Struthio camelus: one gene and its partner. The protein of the gene in region 2 binds, or shares a complex with, the protein of the main gene of each other region. Links are inferred from orthologs where the notes say so. Each region holds a gene or a part of one and is shown on either strand. Other genes may lie near its edges.

What was found. Proteins that work in one complex are often made in the same cells at the same time.
Region 1: the proteins of ERCC6L (region 2) and BEND3 are in contact, whole or in part, in a crystal structure (PDB 5JNO), measured with the Homo sapiens proteins. The link is inferred for Struthio camelus from reciprocal best matches to the Homo sapiens genes ERCC6L and BEND3. Residues at the interface, in NP_060139.2 of Homo sapiens: Ala10, Glu11, Ala12, Leu13, Ser14, Pro15, Glu16, Ala18, Ala19, Tyr21, Leu22, Arg23, Lys26, Phe51, Pro52, Asn53, Glu54, Lys55; in NP_001073919.1 of Homo sapiens: Glu252, Gln255, Ile256, Gln259, Leu261, Asp265, Arg269, Val272, Gln273, Pro276, Phe279, Ser280, Phe335, Arg338, Phe339, Gln342, Glu346.

The regions. Positions count from the first base shown.
Region 1 is NC_090944.1:58,878,577-58,882,319, forward strand, and holds the start of BEND3 (BEN domain-containing protein 3), read right to left. Parts: upstream 2,390-3,743; 5' UTR 2,123-2,389; intron 1,293-2,122; exon of another isoform or gene 722-1,292; intron 1-721. UniProt on the Homo sapiens protein: Transcriptional repressor which associates with the NoRC (nucleolar remodeling complex) complex and plays a key role in repressing rDNA transcription.
Region 2 is NC_090952.1:1,889,618-1,893,360, forward strand, and holds the start of ERCC6L (DNA excision repair protein ERCC-6-like), read left to right. Parts: upstream 1-1,202; 5' UTR 1,203-1,264; coding exon 1,265-1,305; intron 1,306-1,571; coding exon 1,572-3,743. UniProt on the Homo sapiens protein: DNA helicase that acts as a tension sensor that associates with catenated DNA which is stretched under tension until it is resolved during anaphase. Functions as ATP-dependent DNA translocase. Can promote Holliday junction branch migration (in vitro).

The sequences.
Region 1 (3,743 bases), on a different chromosome or scaffold from region 2:
AGAAGCTGCATATAGCTGAAATTTTCCCTACCTGTCCCCCTTACTTTCCCAAACACCAATTTCATCTTGCAGTGAATGATCAGTGCAATTTGTTTATTTTCAGCAATGTATTAACTACTATATGTATAAACTGTATGTAAGGTAATGCATTAACTACAATTTGTTCAATTAAGTGTTTTCCCCCGGTCTATTAGGAACATTGTTTTTCTCAATGCTTTGTTCTCTCCCTCCTCATCTTCAACTTTATTTTAAAATACTGCTCCATTTGAACTTCCTACAGACAATTTAAAATCCCCTTCAAACTCCACTACACTTTCCTTTATTTTTCACTCACTGGGTAACAAGCTATGGAAATACTTAGCAAAGATAAAAAAGTACTGTCAGTCAAATGCTGAGCTTGATTTAATGAGACAGAAAAAATCGACTACCATAGATTTCTAATTGTTTTACCAGCTGAAAGCATCAAAGTAAACGGAGAATCTGACAGCCAGATATTAGGCAAAAGTAGGGAAAGGATCTGAATGCCTCTGCCCCAAGCGTCAGGCCTATACTGCTCTTATAGGTGCCAGTGACAAGCTCTATCTGCGCTCCAACCCAAAGGCTCTGGGACTGCGTCAACGCTATGTGGAAGCAGTCACATGGCTCTTGGACTGCAGCCGGCTCACATTCTGCTGGTTCAGAGTTTGTTCCCTTCTATTTACAAAAGACTGCGTAGACATACCACAGGAGAGAGCAGGGTAAAGCACAGGGTGAGCTGGGTGGAGGTAGACCATTCCTCCGCATCAGCCTTCTCGCGTCCCCTCAACTCTTTGCAGGTCAAGAACCAAGATGAATTATGACAGAATCATCAGCTCGATGTTACTAAGGGTTTTTATCAGCTAAGGGTCTGACCCAAGTCCTCACTTCTCACAAGGCACGTGCTTACATGCTGCTCCAAAGGTTCCCATGAAGCCCACATGTAAGACCATTTAGCTTCTGAACAGAGCTGTTATCATGGGAAATACACACCGCAAGGTCCCTCGGGGATGAACCACGCAGTCAGCTACGCTAGAAACTTGTGATACCGACTAGCATGCTGCCAACCGGCCCTGCCGCGGGGAGGACGGGCGCCGGCAGAGGGAGATCACCTCTGCCCTGTTACTTGCCTAGCACTCACAACCCACTCACGCCGAGTCAGACGCGATCCCCGCCCATGCCATCGAGTCGCCCCCTTTTGCAGGCACCGGGACGGCACCGGGCCCTCTACGGGGGACGAAGGCAACTTCCCGCTCCGCTCTGGGGCTCCCGGGGGCCGGCGCTGCGCAGCGTCGCACTCCGCCCCGGCGGGACCCCCCACCCCCACCCCCGCGGAGGACACGTGCTCCGGCCCCGCCACCTCCACCCCCCCACACACACGCACGCACGCACGCACACGCGGGGACAGAGGGGCGGCGGGCCCCGAGCGGGAAGCGCGGCGGCGCCCCACGGGCTCCAGCGCCTGCCACGTGGGAGCCACCCGCGGCGCCGCGCGGCGCCGCGGCCCCGCCCCGAGGCGGGGGCTGCGGTAACGCCGGCCCCGCGCGCCCCGCACGCGGCGGCCGGGGCCGCTTCCGCGGTCAGACCCACGAGCCCGACGCGGCGGCGGCGGTGGCGGCCGCTGCTTCCGGTCCGAACCCTGCCCGGGCGGATCTATGTGGCGGGCGGGGGGGGGGAGGGGGGCCCGCGGGCAGAGGAGGGAGGGTTAAGGTGAGGCTGGAGGTGACGGCGGCGTGACCGTTCCACTCCTCCCCCCCGCCCCCGCCGCCGCCGCGGAGATGGAGGCACCCGGAGGGAGCGCGCGCGCGCCCCCGCGCGCCCCGAGCCGCAGCGCTATAGCAACGTTCCAAGCAACGAACAAAGAGTCCCCCCCCGCCCCCCCTGCCTCCCCCGCCGCCCGCCCCGCGCCCCACGGGCAGGGGGAGGGGCGGCGGCGCCGGGGGCCCCGCGCCGCGGCCGGGGGAGGGGCCGGCCCGGGCCTGCCGCTCGCTCTTCCCCCCCCCCCACCCCGTTCCTCCCCTGGTCGCCGGGGCGGCGCTCCCCACCGAGGGCTGCGCGGAGCGGCGCCCCTCCCGCCACTGCGCCGGGGAGCGGCGGCGGGACTTACCTAGGCTGCCTGTGGGGGCACGGGAGCCCCGGGACTGCGGGGGCGGCTGGAGCGGCCGCCGCTGGTGCCCGCGCTTCCCCCCCGCTCTTTGTGTGCGAGGGTCCGCGCGCTGCGCTCTCGCGTGACGTGACGGGACCGTGTGTCATTTCCGCACAAGGACACTGAGCCCCAAGCCGCCGCGGCCAGCGCCACCCGCCGCCCCGGGGCAGGGGCAGAGGCGGGAGGGGAGGGGGGAGGAGCAGGCCGCTCTCCCCCCTCCTCTTCCCCCCTCCTTCCCCACCCCCCGCCCTCCCCGGCGCTGCCACAGGGAACGCGGTTCCCACTGGAGACCCCGCGCGCGCCCGCCCCCGCCGCGCTCCTCGCGAGCGAGCACGCGCGCGCGCGCGCGCGCTGCCCACTCGGCGGCGCGGGGGCAGCCCAACGGCCGGGCGCGAGCGAGCCGCGCCGCGCCGCGCCGCGCGCCATGGCCGCGAGCAGCGCCGGCGGGCACGGCCCCGGCCCCCCGCGCCGCCCCTGCCGCACGTGGGCCCGGCCCGGGGACGCCGAAGGACACGCGGCGCGCTCTGCCTCGGCAGCCGCCGCGTGGAAGCGAGTGGCAAGGCCGGCACCGCCGCCGCCGCCCCCGGGGGTGGTGGTGGTGGGGGAGCCACGCACGGCACGGCCGCCACCCCGGCAGCCCGCGCCGGTCGCGCGGCGGCGGCGGGCCGCGCACGTGCAGGCGGCGGCGGCGGCTGTGAGCTTGCGCTCGCCGAGCTGGGGGCCGAGCGGCGACCGGGCGGGCGGGAGATGGGGGACGGCGTGGGGGGGCAAGGGGGGCGGTGTCCCCGCCGGGCGGGCGGCCACCACCGCGTGGCCATGGCCGGCGACGGGAAGCGGCGAGCACGTGGCCGCGCGGCCCCGCCGGGGGCGGCGCGCGTGAGGCCAACGGCCGCTCCCGCCCCGCGGCCAACGGTCGCCTCCTCCCCCCCCACCCCCCACGGCCGGCGGAGACCTGAGGGAAACGGCCGCCCGCCGCCCCACGCGGGTCCTGCCGCGAGTCCCCACGGGCGCCGTGTGTGCCGGCGCGGGCAGAGCGGCCGCCCCTGCGGCTCCCGGAGTCCCGGCCCTCGCTGGCCGCGGCCTTTCGGAGGGGCCGTACCGGGCCTGGCGCTGGGAGCTGGCTGTAAAGCCTTCAAATAAATCCCCATGTCGTAACGCCTGCCAGGAATCCCTCATGTCGTTATTTGGGCAGCGCGTGATGAAAGTGTGAAGAATCGCTCATTAGTTATGACACTTGTTCGCCGTACGCGCGCGCTCGCTGACTTGACCCAGAAGGCGATTTTTCTGATGAGCTGGCGCTTCTGGACACACCGTGGCAGGCTCGCGGCATGGTTGGAAGTGGTGCTGCTCCGCACACTGCCTGCCTTTATGCAATGCGAAAGCCTTCTTTCGTGTTTCTTATTGCCAGGTAAGGAAAGCTGGCATTTGGTGCTGTTTTAGGCTGCAGCCTGTACTTGTAAAAACAGAAATTCAGTAGGCTCTGTTTAATTCACTTCCAGGCTTGAGGATTTTATGTTCTTTCCTTCATCACTTTCACGAGAGAATTTTTTCTTGCTTCACATTTGTGGGGCTGATGGCTGCA
Region 2 (3,743 bases):
CAACTGATCCAGGATATCACGATCCGCGGGATTCACGTTTTGGCTGTGACTCCTGGAAACACCCTATATGTCATCTATAACAAACTAGAGATCCCTTATAGAGCCTAAGCCAGTTCCATCGTCCATAGTCTACCTCCATATGGGACTAAAAAGCAAGGGCCGGGGTTGCAAATGAAAGGGAGCTGGCTTGTATTCAAATGGAAACACCTATGTGGCTGCCAGAGCTGCCTGCAGAGATAAGAGTGGAAAGGGTGCTGGTGTTGGTGCTCAGGAGGCACCCCCTCCTCCCAGGTGCATGGCCCAGCGAGGGTGCCAGGCTGTGGGCACTGGGCCTCCGGCAGATCTGGGCACAGAGGGCAAGTGATGAGCGGCACTGAGTGGCTGCAGGGAACCAAAGCCTAGGCCAGGGCCTTCAGAGAAGCGCTGCTTTCCAGCAGTCCACACTGCATGACTGGTCCCATGCTGAGGACTCTAACTCCAGGCCAGCATCTCTTACCCTTCCAAGCCATGAGTGCTGTCTCCTGGCTGCAGAGCACCTACATGGTGGGGGCACTGCTGCCTGTCCCACTTGCTCTCTGAGCACCCCATGGAAAAGGAAACACTGCTTTGGTGTGCTCTGAGTTCAGCAGCAGCTTCAGATGCAGTTGAAGAGCCGGGAGCAGAGCTGCAGCTCCCTGGCTCGCCTGGCCTGTGCTGGACTCAGTGCACTCTGCTGGACCCCCCTCCATAGGGTCCAGCAAGACCATTCAGCCCCCATGGGGCCAGTGCTCCTGGAGTAACATGGCAACATCTCCCACTGTACAGAAAAAGCGCATGGGAAATGCTACTCCCTTGTCCCCACCATTGCTCCCAGGAAAGGCAGGAGGAAAGGAGAGCAGGAAGCTTCAGAGCCTTGTGCACCGGGGGTCTGTGCAGCCGGGCCTTGCCCTAGGAGCCCGATACTGCCAGGAGCGGGGGGAACTGACCCAGTGCAGCCCAGTCCCACCGTGGCCCAGCCCCTGTTGAGCCCAGCACCAGGACAGCGCAGCCCGAGACCGGCCCCGGCCCCGGCCCCGCCAGCCCCCGTCCTCTGGCCCCGGCCCCGCCCCCCCAAAACCACGTGGTGGCTGCGGGACTCGGCCGGCCGCAGCCCCGCCCCCGGACGCTGACTGGCTGCGCGGCCGTTCATTTGCATGCGGGGTGGGGGGGGGGGAAGGGAGCGCGGGGCAGGACGGGAAGGGCCGGCGTTTGAAGCGCGGGGCGGCAGCGGCGGGGCGCGCGCGCCATGGCGGAGCTGGAGCCTGGGCAGGAGGAGCGGTACCGGAGGTGAGGCGCGGCGCGGCCGGCCGGTCGCGCTCTGTGCGGGTGTCCAGGGCGGCGGTGGCGGGGCCCGGTGCCGCTTGGTGCCGGGGTCGAGCTGGGCGGGGCCGGGGGGAGGCGAGGAGGAGGCCGCGGCCGCGGGGGCGGCGGGGCCTGGTGGCACTTGGTGCCGGGGGCGAGCGGGGCTGGGGAAGGGGCCGGGGCCCCGGGGGCGGCGGCGGGCTCCGCGGGCGGCGGCGGGCTCCGCGCGGTGCCCATGGCGCTTCCCGCAGGCTGGTGAGCGGGGCGAAGGCGGCGGCGGGCGGCGGGGACCTGGAGGAGGCGCTGCGGTTGTTCCGGCTGGCGGCCGCGATCCGCCCCAGCGAGAAGCTGAGTGGCCGCATGCGGCGCGTGGAGGCGGCGCTGGCCGAGGCGGCAGCGGCGGAGGAGGATGGGGAGGAGGAGGAAGGCTTCGTGGACGTGTGCGGCAGCGGACTGCTGCTCTACGGGGAGATGCACGGGAAGCTCTTCCAGCACCAGCGGGAAGGTGTTGCTTTTCTGTACCGCCTGCACCGGGAGGGCAGGCCCGGTGGCATCCTGGCTGATGACATGGGCCTGGGCAAGACCATCCAGATCATCGCCTTCCTCTCAGGCATGTTTGATGCTGACCTTGTCCAGCATGTCCTGCTCATCATGCCCACCACGCTGGTCAGCAGCTGGCTGGCAGAGTTTGCTCGCTGGACCCCTGGCCTGCGCGTCAAGGAGTTCCACGGCACCAGCAAGGCAGAGCGCACCAGGAACCTGGAGAGGGTCCAGAGGAAGAATGGCATTGTTATCACAAGCTACCAGATGCTTATTAACAACTGGAAGCAGCTTGCCAGCAGCCATGAAGAGGAGTTTATCTGGGACTACATCATTCTTGATGAAGCGCATAAAATCAAGTGTCCATCAAACAAAACGACAAAATGTGTGTATGCTATTCCTGCTAAACATCGCCTCCTCCTCACGGGTACCCCAGTGCAAAACAACCTACGGGAAATGTGGTCCTTGTTTGACTTTGCATGCCAAGGCTCTCTCCTAGGAACAGCCAAAACATTTAAAATGGAATATGAGAACCCTATTACGAGGGCAAGGGAGAAGGATGCAACTCTGGGAGAGAAAGCACTGGGCCTTAAGATATCTGAGAATCTAATGACCATTATAAAGCCGTATTTCCTCAGAAGAACTAAAGAAGATATCAAAAAAAACTGCAATGCTGACAAACTGGATGCTCCTCTTCCTGAGGATCCAAGTGAAAATAGTGCTCCTGTCATGCCGTCTCTTACTAGGAAAAATGACTTTGTTGTGTGGGTGTATTTAGCACCAATACAAGAGGAAATCTACAGGAACTTTCTCTCTCTGGATCATTTGAAAGAAGTGCTGATGACTACCCGCTCACCTCTAGCTGAGTTGACTGTCTTGAAGAAGCTGTGTGACCACCCCAGGCTTCTGTCCGCAAGAGCATGTATCCAGCTGGGCTTAGAAGGACATGAATACTCTGAGCAGGATTACAGGAGTGAAACAGGTATACTTGCAGGAGCTAACAAAATAGATCATCTGTCTGAAGAGACTGTGATTCAGGAGTCTGGGAAAATGCTGTTCCTTGTAGGACTTCTAGAAAGGCTGCGAGATGAGGGACACAGAACTCTGGTATTCTCGCAGTCGAGGAAGATGCTAGATATCATAGAGCATGTTTTATCGCGCAGACAATTTAAGATCATGCGTATTGATGGAACAGTAACCCACTTAACAGAACGAGAGAAGCGCATTAGTGCATTTCAGAATGACAAAGACTACTCTGTCTTCTTGCTCACCACGCAAGTCGGCGGCGTTGGTATAACCTTAACCGCAGCTAGCCGAGTGGTGATCTTTGATCCCAGCTGGAATCCAGCTACAGATGCCCAGGCTGTGGACAGAGCTTATAGGATTGGGCAGAAAGAGAATGTAGTAATTTATAGACTGATTACCTGTGGCACCGTGGAAGAGAAAATATATAGGCGACAAGTATTCAAGGACTCATTAATAAGACAGACTACTGGTGACAAAAAGAACCCATTTAGATATTTTTCCAAGCAAGAACTAAGGGAGCTTTTCACATTAGAAGATACTCGAACATCTGCAACTCAGATCCAGCTGCAGTCTCTGCATGCCACTCAACGAAAGACTGATGTACAGCTGGATGAACATATTGCTTATCTGCACTCTCTGGAAATGTTTGGCATTTCTGATCATGACTTAATATATACAAGGGAAATAACTCATGAGGAGCGGGCTGAGAATGAAGAAGCCCATCAGTACATTCAACAGAGGGTGCAGAAAGCCCACGAGCTAGTTCAGTTAGAGTCTCAGCTTAGAGACCAGAGGATGGAGAGAATCAGAAATGCTTCTGAGGGGACATGGCCAAGAGCACCGGAACTGGCTTCCCA